Oryctolagus cuniculus: one gene and its partner. The protein of the gene in region 1 interacts with the protein of each later gene in a pairwise test. Links are inferred from orthologs where the notes say so. Each region holds a gene or a part of one and is shown on either strand. Other genes may lie near its edges.

What was found.
Region 2: the proteins of HNRNPA1 (region 1) and HNRNPH3 interact in binary tests that used the Homo sapiens proteins (3 or more experiments, as listed by UniProt). The link is inferred for Oryctolagus cuniculus from reciprocal best matches to the Homo sapiens genes HNRNPA1 and HNRNPH3.

The regions. Positions count from the first base shown.
Region 1 is NC_091442.1:57,218,370-57,225,859, forward strand, and holds the end of HNRNPA1 (heterogeneous nuclear ribonucleoprotein A1), read left to right. Parts: coding exon 1-50; intron 51-184; coding exon 185-395; intron 396-485; coding exon 486-578; intron 579-656; coding exon 657-749; intron 750-1,019; coding exon 1,020-1,094; intron 1,095-1,302; coding exon 1,303-1,455; intron 1,456-2,054; coding exon 2,055-2,210; intron 2,211-2,420; coding exon 2,421-2,476; 3' UTR 2,477-2,486; intron 2,487-2,733; exon of another isoform or gene 2,734-3,429; intron 3,430-4,846; 3' UTR 4,847-5,259; downstream 5,260-7,490. UniProt on the Homo sapiens protein: Involved in the packaging of pre-mRNA into hnRNP particles, transport of poly(A) mRNA from the nucleus to the cytoplasm and modulation of splice site selection.
Region 2 is NC_091446.1:60,232,549-60,240,252, forward strand, and holds the start of HNRNPH3 (heterogeneous nuclear ribonucleoprotein H3), read left to right. Parts: upstream 1-3,267; 5' UTR 3,268-3,808; intron 3,809-3,880; exon of another isoform or gene 3,881-4,066; intron 4,067-4,350; coding exon of another isoform or gene 4,351-4,576; exon of another isoform or gene 4,577-4,666; intron 4,667-4,760; coding exon of another isoform or gene 4,761-4,784; intron 4,785-7,697; exon of another isoform or gene 7,698-7,704. Other genes in the region: PBLD (phenazine biosynthesis-like domain-containing protein), read right to left, coding at 4,351-4,576, 4,761-4,784.

The DNA of each region.
Region 1 (7,490 bases):
ACAAAGTGGATGGAAGAGTTGTGGAACCAAAGAGGGCTGTGTCGAGAGAAGTAAGTGGGCCCCCAAACCCCCATCGGTTGTGGTAATAGGCTTGCCATTGGGGAGCCATCTGGACCCTTTCAAGTACTTGATAAAGGACACAGATTTTGCCATTTAGAGTAACTCGTGGTTCTCGGCTCGGTAGGATTCCCAAAGACCAGGTGCCCACCTCACTGTGAAAAAGATCTTCGTGGGTGGCATTAAAGAAGACACTGAAGAGCATCACCTCCGAGATTACTTTGAGCAGTACGGGAAAATCGAGGTGATTGAGATCATGACTGATCGAGGCAGTGGCAAGAAGAGGGGCTTTGCTTTTGTGACCTTCGACGACCATGACTCCGTGGATAAGATTGTCAGTGAGTATCAGATCCCAGGCACTTTGCGGGCTTTCTGCAACGCACGTGGCATTCCACTCTAACCCCGGGCTGTTTGTCATCAAATTTCAGTTCAGAAATACCACACTGTGAACGGCCACAACTGTGAAGTGAGGAAGGCCCTGTCGAAGCAGGAGATGGCCAGCGCTTCGTCCACCCCGAGAGGTATGTCTATTGCTTAGTCGGACGTTAAGGTAACTTTGAGTTTTTCCAATCTGTATGGTTTAACACTTATCTCTCAAGGTCGAAGTGGTTCTGGAAACTTTGGTGGTGGTCGTGGAGGTGGTTTTGGTGGCAATGACAACTTTGGTCGTGGAGGAAACTTCAGTGGTCGTGGTATGTATGGTTAGCTAAGGTTAACTCTAGAGAGCTTGTGGTTTCTTGACCCTAGATGACTTGTCCCTTTTTTTTCTGTAACCTGTAGTAGCATATAACAAATGGCCTACGTTTCCGAAGTTAAGTTTTATCTAAAATGCAGCTCTGGCCTGTAACTAACCAGAAGTTACTCCGGTGTGCCAATCGTTGTCACAGTGCAGGGAGCGCTTCCAGAGCGTACCACGCAATTCATATGCTCTAAACCTGCTGCACGTGTTTGCTTTCTTCCAGGTGGCTTCGGCGGCAGCCGCGGTGGAGGTGGTTATGGTGGCAGTGGGGATGGTTACAATGGATTTGGTAATGACGGTAAGTCTTTAAAGAATACATAGGTAAAAATGTTTCTGGCAACTTGTGTTACTAGATTAGGATGATAGAAACTGTTAACTGCTAGTGCATGATAAGCTCAACTGAACCCATAATAAGCATGCTTTGCGCAGGCCTTTAGCCATTACACTTGAACCGATTTTGATTGTTAAATACTTTTGTCTTATTGAGAAGAATTGTATTCTTATAGGTGGTTATGGAGGAGGCGGCCCTGGTTACTCTGGAGGAAGCAGAGGCTATGGAAGTGGTGGACAGGGTTATGGAAACCAGGGCAGTGGCTATGGCGGGAGTGGCAGCTATGACAGCTATAACAACGGCGGAGGCGGCTTTGGCGGTGGTAGTGGTAGGTATCGAGTGATCCAAGTACTTGGTCTGATAGCTAGATTAGTGTTTTAGCATTTTAATGCCCATATTGCGATTGGAAGCTCTTAAAGCATTGTGTGGTACACTGCATGGTATATTAAAAGGAAATGAGCTTGCTGTGCTACCTCCTCCTAGCTTTAAGCTGGGGCCGCCTCACTCCCAAATAAGTAGATGCTAAGCGGGTAGTGGTGTCTGTGATGTGAGTGAGTTAGCATCTTGGCAGGGTTTAGTGTGTGGAACTCCTTGGGACCGCAGGCACTTAGTTGATACATCCAAGACCGTTGACCGTTGGCAGTGGCCTGGATGCATGCACAAAGGCCTGTGAGGCTAGAGAGTACACCTCTAGTTGCCACTAGGAAAAATTCAACTTCTAATGCGGTGAACTGGGTTGCTTTGTAAAACTTCTGGATTATTCAACTGAATGCCTTGTCCAGAGAATGAAAATGCAGATGTGCAGCCACCTGAGTTTGGGAGGAAGCAGGCAGATAATAAAAGCTTTAATTCTGAACACTGAGCAGAATTGGGTACTCTCAGTCACCTTCTCAAGTAACACACAAAGGCCATCTTTCTGTTCCCTAGGAAGCAATTTTGGAGGCAGCGGAGGCTACAATGATTTTGGCAATTACAACAATCAATCTTCAAATTTTGGACCCATGAAGGGAGGAAATTTTGGAGGCAGAAGCTCTGGCCCCTATGGTGGTGGCGGCCAATATTTTGCCAAACCACGAAATCAAGGTATGGTATGAATGTAACTGGGAGATGAGCAAGTAAAAGGGAAAGGAGTTGGTTTGTTGGGTGCATAGCTGATGGTGCTGCCCTTGTCAGGTTTCGCTAAGGCTGTTAAATAGTCACTCCTAAGTTTGAACTTGTCTCATCCCATTGAACATGAAAGCAGGGCTTTTGCCGTGGGCACTTGAGAGGTTAAAAGGCCCAATCTTGTTCTAGGTGGCTATGGTGGTTCTAGCAGCAGCAGCAGCTATGGCAGTGGCAGAAGGTTTTAATAACTGCCAGGTAAGTAAACACCTTTTTTTGTGTGTGCTTTTTTTTTTAAGTTTTTATAATCGCTGCTAAACCCTAATGTAGCTAAGCAGTGTGGCATAGTTAACATTATAATATTGCAGTAAAATTGTGGGTATTAAGTTCAGATAATATTGATAATTCAGATGAGCAAAATTTGTGGGAAACAACTTAATATTGGATTGTAGCCTTGAGTCTTAATATGTTTAGATTAACAACTTTATTCCATATTGTTCAACAGGAAACAAAGCTTAGCAGGAGAGGAGAGCCAGAGAAGTGACAGGGAAGCTACAGGTTACAACAGATTTGTGAACTCAGCCAAGCACAGTGGTGGCAGGGCCTAGCTGCTACAAAGAAGACATGTTTTAGACAATACTCATGTGTATGGGCAAAAAAACTCGAGGACTGTATTTGTGACTAATTGTATAACAGGTTATTTTAGTTTCTGTTCTGTGGAAAGTGTAAAGCATTCCAACAAAGGGTTTTAATGTAGTTTTTTCTTTTTTTTTCTTTTGCACCCATGCTGTTGATTGCTAAATGTAATAGTCTGATCATGACGCTGAATAAATGTGTCTTTTTTTTAAATGTGCTGTGTAAAGTTAGTCTACTCTGAAGCCATCTTGGTAAACTTCCCCAAAAAGTGTAAAGTCAGAATTCATCAGGGTGATGCCAGGTTCCATTTGAGATTTATTTACAAAATGCTCGGGTGGAGAAGCTGTTCTCAGATACATGAGTTACTGTTGTGACCTTCTGAAGTTCACCATTAAAAGCCACCCAAGCAAAGTCATGGGGTTATTTGGTTATAAGAATGATTGTTGGCACATCCTTTGCAATATATCTAAATTGAATAATGGTACCAGATAAAATTACAGATGGGAATGAAGCTGTGTATCATCCATTATCATGTGTAATCAATAAACGATTTAATTCTCTTGAATGGAATGACAACTGTATGGATTTGGGACTGGCAGAGATTTGGACTTTTCCCTACCCTCCACCCCTGATAATGTTGAATCCTACCACAATGCAAGTTCAAAACTCTGCCAGAGAATAGAAGCCAGCTGCTGGCTAATGCTTCCACTCCATTAAGTCCACAAAGATTTAGAAGTGTTTTAAGAGACATTTCTTAAAAAATACCGGTACCAGTAAGACTTGAATTCAATATAAACAGGTTTTTATTAAAGGAAAACTGCAGTTCTGCTGGGTCATGGGTCGGTGTGTGGGTGGGTCGGTCTGTGGAAATGTATGTTGATTACACTGGTTGGGGGGATTAAAACCATGAAGTGGGAGGAACAAATGTTTCTGTATAATTTCATATTAACTGCAGTTTTCCTTTAAACATGACACAAGACCACACAATCATCTGAAAGTGTTAATTGTATATATAGATAATGATTTCTAAACCTTTCATAGTTCATGGATACCCAATAATTGTTATTTGTAAATAGGTTCTTTGAAGCCTACCCTCTTTAATTTCAGTGCCATTGTATCTAGTAGTATAGATCATTGTTTACTAGTAGGACTGTATATGCCATCCCAGGGGTGTGTTGGAACATTGGGGAGGAGGGTGGGAGGGAGGTGGGTGGAAGGTGGTGGGGGGTGGGTGAGCGTGGACGGTAGTTCATGATACTGGCTGAGTTTGCAATAGCAGGTGGAACCTTTAACTGTTGAGGGAGTTTGCAGATACATCAGGATTCGTGACAATGCCTTTAAAGATCCAGGAGAGATGTTCAGCTACTAGGAACTGCTAGCAAGCATAGCGCGAATGGCTCCGAGCTCAGACTCTACAGCTGAGAGTAGACACTTGTGGTATGTGGAGCACAGATAAGCCAGGGGCAGGCCACGGCACCCTCCATGAAAGCTAGGAGGAAGTGAAGTTTGAGTGACCATCGCCAGAAAGGAGGCAGACGAGAGTAAGGCACACCTGACTCTTAGGACTAGCAGTCAGAACCAGGAGGAAAGGTTTTATTGCTATGCTGGTAGGTAAGAACAGATTTTACTTACATCCATAAAGTTAACCTAAAATCCAGTATTCTGTTAAATTTTCCTTAATATATTGAGCCAAAACTAGTCCAGTTAAGCTGAACTTGGTTTTTCTGGAGAAATTGACACCCTATTGGTGGCTCCTAATTGAAGAAAGTAATTAATTCTGTGATAATCTATTTTTGCCCTTTAATTTTATTTGCTGTCCTTTTACCCATTTCCTTGAAATAATGGCTCAAATTAATATATTGGAATCTTCCCAAAATGGGGGGAGGGCTGGGTGGGTGGACCATTAGTGGGTGGGGGTGGTTTAGCTTGATGGGACTCTGTCTTCGAAAAGAGCCAGTTCTAAAGGCTGTTTACTTTTCTAGGGAAGAATCTGCTACACGCTTATCAGCTCTTATTAAAAAAATAATTATAATTAAACCCAGAAACTCCTGTCCATGGCTAGAAAGGTAAGTTTCTATAAAATAATGGCCAGCCAAGAGTTCTCCATATTTCCAAAGTCAAAGGGAGAATTACCAACACCCAAGCACAAGGTCCAATTGTCCATAACCAAAGCAGCCAGATTCCCAGTGGTGGCAGTTAGCTGATGACAGAGCCCTGTCCTAATGCGTTAACGACTTCACCCCTCTCTTTCCTTTGCAGGAACATCCTTGTGAGGACAACCTTTGAGCCACTCCATTTCTCACTGCTATGCAGTTGATACTAGCTGTTTTGCAGCTCTAATTATTCATTCCATTTTGTGAATGAGCTTTATGAATAATAAATCATTTTATAAATACTTGGTCTGCTTCATGTTATTTTCCCATTTTAAATTAGGGATTCAAAAATGTAGGATATCAGTGATAAACTGGTCTTGGTAAGACATTGAGGCAGAGAAAGATCTTCCATATTCTGGTTTGCTCTCCAGATTACAACAGCCAGAGCTGTAAAAATCCAAAGCCTGGAGCCTCTTGGATCCCCCATGCAGGTGCAGGGGCCCAAGGACTTGGCCATCTTCCACTGCTTTCCCAGACCATAGCAGAGAACTGGATTAGAAGTGGAGCCACTGGGACTTGGACCACAACGATGTGGGATGCCAGCACCACAGACTGGGGCTTTAACTTGCTGTGTGGTGGCACCAGCCACAGGCAGTTGCCTTGACTCCATGTCTCAGATCAACTGACTGCCTTTCCCTTCTGGGGGCAGAACAAGCTGCCCAACATGGCAGCTTTTAAATGGGGGTTGGTTCCTGACTGAGACGGTGTGCTGCATTGACACTGCCGCATTCAGGATCATGGTTTAGAGCCAGTGGGCACTCGGACAGCAAGCCAGTGTCAGGCTGCTCCAACAGCCATGTCTCCACTCCTGGCTTGGGAAGCCAGCCGCCAGTGAGCTGTGTTGAGTCTTGGGAGCTAGGATTTGTGAAGTTCACGTGGTAGATCGCGCTGACAAGCTGATGAGACAAGCATTCAGAAGCAGTAATTGTGCTCCAGCAAATGCTTTCTATCTTTCTGCATTCCAGAAAGATTGGCCCAGCCTGTTCAGCAGAGGAAGAGTGAGGTGTGGGTTAGGGGAACTCTGCATCCCAACATCTGGGCTGGAACACCACAGGATAGCCTTTTGAAGAGCTCTACTTGTTTGACAAGTTGGCCAGGAGAGGTTTTGCATTTATTTATATTAAATGGCTTTAGGTTTCATGTGCTGTGCTTTGTTTTATACAAATGAGGGAATTCAAGGTAAGACCTCTGGTCCAAGTTGATGTTCCCAGCTTGGCTATAGGTCGACGTGGCAGCTCCAGAATGGTCTTGCCTGGTAACAATCTGAGAGGAGGCTGCACCTTCAGGTCCTAGGGCTTGAAGTGATGAGGTCAGGTAAATAGTTGAATTTGCCTGTGGGTTGTGTTCGGGACATTGGATTTTTTTCATTCTACCCAAAGATGAATTTTAAAACTTGAGCAGTTAGCTCTGCATTTTACAACTTAACATGTGAACGTTTTCAGTTCTCTGAGACAAAGTTGACAAGTGGGCCCTGTACTAACAGGAAACTCGGGTTGCTTTCATTCCATAAAGCTTGGCTACACGGCATGTTTCTCAGTGGGCTTGAGCACCCACCGCCTGTGCCCTGTCCCTGCTGTGGGCTCTTGGAGCTGCCCATCTATACTTGCATCAGACCTGGGATGAGGATTCCCTGTGGGATGATAGGAAAACCGGGTTGAAGGGTAACAGTAAGGTGTTTCAGGTGTGGAGCCGTGGATGTGCCGAAGTGGGAAATCGGGATCCCCTTGAGTTCAAGGAGATGTGTAGAGGGAGGGCTGGTTGGATTTTAGGTGATGCGCCTAAGGAGCCAAACTCCAGGTCCCTGTATCTGTTTCAAGGGTGCAGGGAGAGCACCTAACAACGCACATCTGAGGATGTAGAAGTGGAGGGCCCCAAGGCAGCGACTGGTGCTGGGCTGTGATAGAACCAGGAAGAGGAAGTTCTACAGGACGTACGTGTTTGATTCCACTGTGGAGCCCCGTGGTGTGAAACCTCTAAAGCTGTGGTGTCTGGTCAGATTCCCGAGTGGAGAACCGCTCGCCCAGCCTCCTGAGAGCCCTGGCACTTCAGCACCCAGGCTGAGAGGTGAAGTGGGGGCAGGACAGAATGAAAGGCTGTGTGTGTGTGTGTGTGTGTGTTCCAAAGAGATCTCAGGGCATCACCAGTTTGTGGGGCTCCCAGGAAATGGGGCGGGGAGCTCCTCAGACGATCCACGCCCCTGACTAAAGGAGTTTAGACGGCTGGATCTCCACCCTCTTGAAGCCCACGTTTTCTTGACTTCTCAGGCGAGCTCTGGAGGGAAAAGAGAATGAACCTGGCAGCATCCGCCCAGCCCTGGACCCCAACAAGTAGTGCTCTGAGCGCCCAGCTTCACCATCATCGCAAAGGTAGACGCAGTAGAAGGCTGTTTGTGCAGAACGCTTTATAGACCAAAGCTGGGACAGGGCTGGAGGTGAGAGGTCAGGGAAAAAAGGTTCTGGCCCAACCCCCACAC
Region 2 (7,704 bases), on another chromosome or scaffold:
AGCTCAATAGGCTAATCCTCCACCTAGCAGCGCCGGCACACCGGGTTCTAGTCCCGGTCGGGGCACCGGATTCTGTCCCGGTTGCCCCCTTCCAGGCCAGCTCTCTGCTATGGCCCGGGAGTGCAGTGGAGGATGGCCCAAGTACTTGGCTGCAGCGGCCATTGGAGGGTGAACCAACGGCAAAAGGAAGACCTTTCTCTCTGTCTCTCTCTCTCACTGTCCACTCTGCTGTCAAAAAAAAAAAAAAAAAAAGAAGAATGTTCAATACTTCTAATTTTCAAAAATCAGAGAAAGAATGCTAGGTGTTTTCTTCCTTTTGAGTTTCCATTTCTGTATTTTAATTATGAAAATTGAATGAAGTATTTTGGTTCCCATACTCCCACAATGAACACTTAGGTATCCTTGAGAAACCAAAAAATACCAAGAAAACAAAATCAAGAATATAAACTGTGTAACGAAGGCTAGAGAAACAACACTGAATCATGACAAAGGAGATCAGTGTTTTGTAAGGAAAGTAGATACATATGTCAGAAATCAAAGCACAAGCATTTCACAAAGCTTTAATAACAGATCAGCGTTCAAAAGGCTTAGCTACCTTAATTAGACACACTCCTAGAAACAGTTTTGTTACGTTTTAGTTTATTTGCCTTTCATGTAGGCAAAATGATTGTGATAATCCAGTTTTTATGGCACTTTGCAATACCTTTGGGGGGTATATGGACAACTAACAACTAATTTTCAACGTCCTTTCCTCCCCCAGAAGAGTGTAGTCTGTTTCCGTCTCTTTCTTCCTCTTTCTCTAAGGCTCTGCGTGGGATTTTCCTTCCCTCTTCATCCTGATGGTGTAACACATGGTCACGTGCTCACTGTCTGGTTTTCCTCTGGGTGGTGTGGGGACTCTTATTTCCTTCTCCTTTTCATCTTTTTCCTTTCATTATGGCCTCTAACAAGATCCTCTCCAGGGTCCCTCTGATCTTTATGCTAATAGAATAGCACCAAATGACTGAAAGGAAGACAAAGAGAAAAAAAATCATCCAAAAGCAGCTGGGAGTCCTCAGTTCTAAGCATCTCTATGGTAACAGTGCCACAGAGATCGATCTGGAAACAATTCCCTAGAGATCACTGGAGCATCGGGGAACCAATCTCACCAACGCTTACTTACAGGATTCAACTTGCAAATCAGAATATAGTAGTTGATAGACTGTTTTAGAGAAAATAAAATAGGTCAGATAAAAATTACATTTACCACTATAGTGTATTTTTTTAAAATGAAAACTTCCTACTTGCTGTAATAATAAAAAGGCAAAAGGAATGCAGGCACTAATTTCAATTCTTTCTTAAGCATTCATATTGGCAAAAGAGTGCCCAAAACAACGAAATTACTTCAAAAACAAAGAAAACGTCCACCGTTGGTGGTGAAAAGTCATTCATATCATTAGAATGATTTTGGGGTTGTAGCTTATAACCACACAAAGTAAATACTTGTGTATAAAAGGATTTCAGAATTTTTTGCACCACAATAAACTTTTAATTCCATTTTCTATGAGTTTTTTGAAGTGTCCTGCTATGTGGAAAGAATGCCAAATCTAATCAGGCTAGTAAATAAACTGAATTCAGGCAAGAGATTTCAGAATTCTGTCAAATCAGGTTGAAAGACTGAAAGGATGAAGTAGTGATGTAACTCAAACCACGGGGGAGGGGGTCAAGGGAAAACCTCACCTGAAGCATGAAAGCTTCCTTACTAACAGCAATTAAAAAAAAAAAAAAGAGGTGAAGTGACAGCAGGACAATCAAGTTTTTGGACTGTTCAAAAGTCTCTAGCCAATAAGCCAAGAACCACAGGTCCCCAGTGATGGCAACTCTAGTGTTGTCATGGGAAGAACTGTGATTTGCCTAAAAATGCTGCCTGTTCACTTCACTCATGGATAAGTTACTTGCAACCCCAGGAAGGTTCAGTGCCTTAAGACCCTAACCCTTGGTGTAATACCATCTGGATTTGAATCCTACTTGTGCCACTCAGCTGTGTGATCTCAGGCAACTATTTCCACATCTCCAGGGCTCAGGCACTTCAAGTGTAAAATGAAGATGATAATAGTGGTTAGTGTTCAGGGTTGTAGGGAGCCATTGTAGTGCCTGGCTCTTGCTGGCATTTGGAGTGATCCAGTGAGTGAAAGATCTCCCTGCCTTTCCAATAGAAATGAAAATATATTTTAGGAAAAATGTAAAGAGTTGGTGAATCGAGTACATTGCTTAGCTCAAGCAAGCTCTCAATACTTGTGACAGCTATTACTACAGCATCCTCATTTTGTTTTTTCATCTCTTGTGATAGGGATCACACTCTGCGGCTCCGGCTTCCTCAGAGCGGGATTCTGAGGGAGTGAAACTCAAGAATGGCAGTCAGGCACTATAAACTGGGTAATTTTTGTAGTCCCACATTGGTCTTCGGCAGGGGTGAGGATGAATTAAAGCCATGAAGTGCAAGCTTCTTTTCCTCGAAGCTAAGTGGCCTCGCGTCTCCACCGCACACGCTGCGGATCTCACAGGGCACAGAATACTACCCTCCTCCACTGCTAACGCCCTTCACCCCACTCCCAACGGGAGGGCAAATGCCTCTTGCACCACGCCCCAAATCTTTTGGCTGGGAATTTTTAGGTAGGTTATAACCTAGCTTCGTCCACATTTCCAACCTTCAGCAACTCTCTACTGTGATCCAAACCGACTTCTCTCGCTCGCTCTCCAAGCAGGTTCCTATCTCCACTTCAACGCACATGGTCTTTTTACCAGGATTACCCTCCACTCCTCCCACGGAAATTCAGCTTGCATGTTTTTTTTACAGTTAGGAAAAAAGAACCAGGACGTGTCATTAGGAACCTGGGTGGCCTGACAGCACAAACAAAAAGTACTTATCAGGGGACACTTGCAAATGCAATTTTCAAGAATGCAAAGCCGTATTTAGAAAACACGCAGTAGGGCTCCATGAGCGACTGAAAGGTTCCGCGAAGGCGGAGGAGACAGCGAGGAGCGATCTGGGGCGAGGAGGGAAACGCCGAGAGCAGGATAGACTCGCCGGCCTACGCCGCGCACGCGGAGGCGGCTCCGTTGGGGGGCAGGAGGACCCCGTCCTGAAGCCGAAATCGGGCCTGTGGACATTTTTGTCTCTCGGCAGAGTCCCGTTTTTTACTACATAACGCAAACATGGTGGAAGGAAAGAGCCCTCTCGGCCTTTGGCGGCCGAGTCACGTGGCGCCATTTCCACGCACTTGACGCGGGGAAGAAGGTGGGGCCTCTATGGAATTTGCTGGCTGTGGAGCCTAGCACTGGGGAACTTCCTTCAAAACACAGTAACGGGAGCGCCTCCGCCCCTCTCTCCTCCTCCCCGAGGGTACAGAAAGGTGTACTCTGAGCTTTAGACGGTGGTAAGGTGAGCAAGAAAGGCGGAGTCAACCCGGCTCCCTCACTAAGCCGTCCGAGTAGGGCGGCTCTTCACTTTTCCGCGGAGCGGCCCGCTGACGCGCAAGCGCACTTCGCCCGGGCCGCGTCAAGGCGGGACCGGTCTCGCGAGACCCTGAGGCCGGCTTTCGTCGCGCTCGCTCCGCCCCCTCCTTCTCGCTCCCTCTCTCCCATCCCCCCAAGCCAGTCGCTCTGCTGCGCAGCTCCCTTAGCGGTTGCCACTGCTGGAGACGGTTGGGAGGACCGTTGTAGGGAGCGCCGCACGAGGCGAACGACTGCCCCCTCCTCACGACCGGACCCTCACGAGCACCGGCGTCGGCGCTTCTATCGCCCGACAGGGTATCTGAAGTAAAAGGGGGTAGGTTGGGCTGGTGGTTTCGAGAGCGGAGTCGGGAGAAGGACGAGACCCAGGAGGGGGTGGGGCGGGGGGGAAGTGTGGAGGTCGCCGCTCGGAGGCGGGCGGGGCTGCGCCTCCCGGGCGATCTCCCACTTCTAGGAGGGCGGCCTGCCGGGCGAGGACTTGCTCGGGTGGAGCTCGGTGGACGACGCGGAGGCCCGAAGTGGAGGGCGTCCAGCCCTTCTCTCTGCCTTGCTGGTTTGGCCTCCGCCATTTTGGGTACGGTGGCGCGGCCACCTTGGCTTCCCGCCCTTCCCCGTTCCTTCTACTTCTTGTTCCCAGCTTTGGAAAGACGGATTGAGCTGGCCGGGGCCGGGGGCGGGGGGTGGTCCAGCTCCCTGGCAGGGGATGAGGGTGGGCGCGAAGCGAGCAGGGCCAGGCCCGGCAGCGGGGCTGGGGGGAGGGTCAGGGCTGCCGCCGGGCGCGCTCCCGATGGAAATGGCGCCGGATGGGCCTGGCCTCCCACCGCAGCCTCCCTTCCTCCGCAGCCTCGGCAGGGCTACCTGGCGGGACTGCCGGTGACTTCTGACGCAGATTCCCAAGATGAGAGAGGCCGGAGCTGGGGCAGGAAAGCCAATGGCGACGGAGGCGCTCAGCTCCCAAATCCAGGACAAAGGAGGCAGACGGCCTCCTTTGTACTTCCGCCGCCCGGTGGCGAAGGTTTTTAAGCCCAGCTTGGCTGCCGGCCGGGGAGGGGGTAGGGGCGCGCTCTCCCGAGCTCTCCGGTCTCTAGGGCAGCTAGATAAACGGAAAGCCTCCGGGGAGGAATAAAGGACGCTTAGCCGGCCCTTAGATTCCAGATTTGGAACTTCGAAAAGAGTACGTACTCATTTTCCAAAGAGGTTGTTTTCTCACGCTTGAACGTTTGTAACGACTTTGGGTGATTTTGCCAGCAGCAAGCTGGGGGACTTACCGAATAGGACTGTGAAATGGGCATGTTTCAAAGAGGCCGTCGAGGCCCAGTGAACTGTGAGCACTTTTTGGACTTTTGGGCCGGGGTGGGTGGGTGGCTTAGCAATGGCTTTGTGTAGTTTGGCACAGATGGGTTGGAATTTGTTTTTAAGTAGGAGTTTTGCTTTTGGAAAACAGTTGTTAAAACACAGCCAGCGATGGCCAAAATGTGTTTATGTATGTAGGAGTTGAGTCGCTATTAAATCTCGAAGAGTATTTTGTGCAGATAATATTTTCCCTTACCATGAAGGCCGTAGAAGTAAAATACTTGATACAGAAGTATATTAATACTTTGAACAGGAAATAAGCGTTCTGAACACTACGGCATAATGTAAGCTCAGTCACATGGCAGTGCGATGGGGGAGGGCTCAGAACATCGGAGAGCTGGCTTGGTAATTTTCCTTGAAGATAGAGACGAGGGGCCAGGCTTAAGAATAAGCGGTTTAAAAAATACCTGTAAGTCTTTACGGGAAGTGTTACCTACTTTTCCAGTTTTAGAACCAGAAAAAAACTGCGTGCTGTTGAAAATGTTTTGTGATGCTTTAATCGAGGATAAGTTTAACTAAATCTTAGCTTGAGACGCAGATTTTCGTGGAGTTTGTGAAACCAGCTCAGATTTTTTTAGTAGGAGATGACCCACAGCTTTTCTGATTGTGTTAAACTACCATACACACCTGTTTTTTACTGGCCATCTTTCTATCATAGTCTGGAAATCTAATTGCATTTTTAAGCAATAATGTTACCTTTTGATGTCTTACCTGGTAAACAGGAGTGGACTGCAGTAGGTAAAACCTTGGTCCTAGTAAACGTATTTATAATTTTTGAAGACTAGGCTCCTTTAGATATTAGTGGTGTCTGATTTTCTAATTTAAAATTGAGGAGCAAGAACTTCAGAAAAAGAGGAACCAAGTAAAATTTGCGTTAAACATGTTTGCCAATTTTTTTGTCAAAAAGTTCATTCTCTTTTATTTTTTGGCATTATATTAAAAATGGAAAAAGTTCCTTTGGCACTCATGGTGCTTCCTCCCCCCCAGGCCATTCCTAGTTTTTAGAAAATTATTTTTTTTGATACATCAGATCCTGTATGACACTTCAACAAATAAAATAGTTTTCCATGTTAGGGGAGTTCTGTATTTCAGTTAATCTCTATTAGATGTTCTTTTAAAAAAGTAGCTTTGAGATAATGAGCAAATCAAACTTCACCCATTTAAAATGTTAAGTTCTTTGGGGTTTAGTGCATGGACGGTTTTGTAACCATCACTAGAATTTATCACTCAAAGATTGCTATACCCATTAGCGGTCATCCTACATGCTAATTCCCTCTCTCCCCTCAGGTCTACAACATTGGTGAAGCAGTCTGGTAGCTTTTTGTATTGTAGATATTGGTTTAAATAGAGGCAATATCAAGGGCCTTCAAAAAGTCATGGGAATTTTATAACAAGGGGGGGGACTATATGCCTGGATTTCAGGTTTTTTAATCAAAATATTTCCATTTTCCATGAACTTTTTGCAGTGCCCTTGTATTTAAAGTCATACAGAATTGACTAGTTTATCTTCCTATTTCAACTGCTGGTATTTTTAATTGGTGTTAACACTTGGAATTCTTCAAGCAGAGCGGTGATTAGACATGACATTGTTACAGCAAAGAAAGGTTGAGATGGATTATCCTGAATAGTTAATAAACTGTTCAGGTAATTTCTGACAGCTTTATTAAGGTATTAAAACAGATGACCTTTTTGTATGAAGGGGTGGTAAAAAACAGTACGAAATGGTAAAAAAAAAAAAATGCTAAGATCTTCCCACCATGAATTAGATCGATTTTTCAGAGTTCTTAAATTTTTCATGGTGAACTAATATTTGATGTTAGATCCCTTCCACTTTTTCTCTTGTTCCTAAGTCCCTCTATGGGAAACACTTCTTAGGTTGGTGCCTTGTTTTTTAGGGGGGAAATTTTAAGAAAATGGTGGAGATCTTCAAATATGACATTTTTCCGAACTGATAAAGGAAGTTCTTTATGAGGATACTTTATATTAATAGTATTTAATAGTATACCTTATATTAATGGTATTTAACTTTTCAAAGCCTTTGACTTTGGAAGAGAATTTTTAACAGACGTTGTTTCCTTTTAAGACTTAGAAATGTTTTCTGTCCTTTAAGGTTCATTTCATAATTTCTATGTCTTGGTTTTATGAAAATCAGTAACAACCAGTGAATGCTTACTGTGAGGCAGATCCAGCACTTTGAAGTAATTCTTACTGTGTTCCAGTTAGGTATAGGTACTACTGTTTTACAGCTGAGTAGGCTTAGAGGTTGGGTAGTCACTGAATGGCAAAGTAGAGATTATTCATATCCAGAGTTTCTTCTGTTTATAAAGTTCATACCAGTTAACTTGTGTACATAATTAGTTGTAATGCCAGTTAAAGTTTGTATTCCCACTTTGGTTGTCTTTTATCTAGAGTGGCACCTAGGGGTTTTGCATTAATAAAGCAGGTGCTGAAGGATCCATGTTAGTGGTATTTAATTATGCACTTTTGGAGAATTCCTACATATCTTATTTTAAGTGCATGAATTCCAAGAAAAAGCTTTACACTTTACAGATGCTAACGTGATAGTTGGACTGATTAGATCATGTGATTTTTTATTTTTTTTGAGCGTTAGTGAATGCTGTTGATATGAAATATGATCCTCAACCCTAAAGGAATCAAGTGAACAAATTGTTTTGTTTACAGGGGAGGAGGTGGTGAGGGAAAGGTTTGAAATATTCAGGTGAGTAGGATTCCTACAGCTGCCTAGTGAAATTTGTAAGGTTCTGGTAAGTTTCTGCAGCTGAAGGACTTCTGCATTAGCTTCTTTTGAAAATGTGGAATTTTGAAAGGAAGAATGGTTGCCTCTGGGGAAGGGAAATG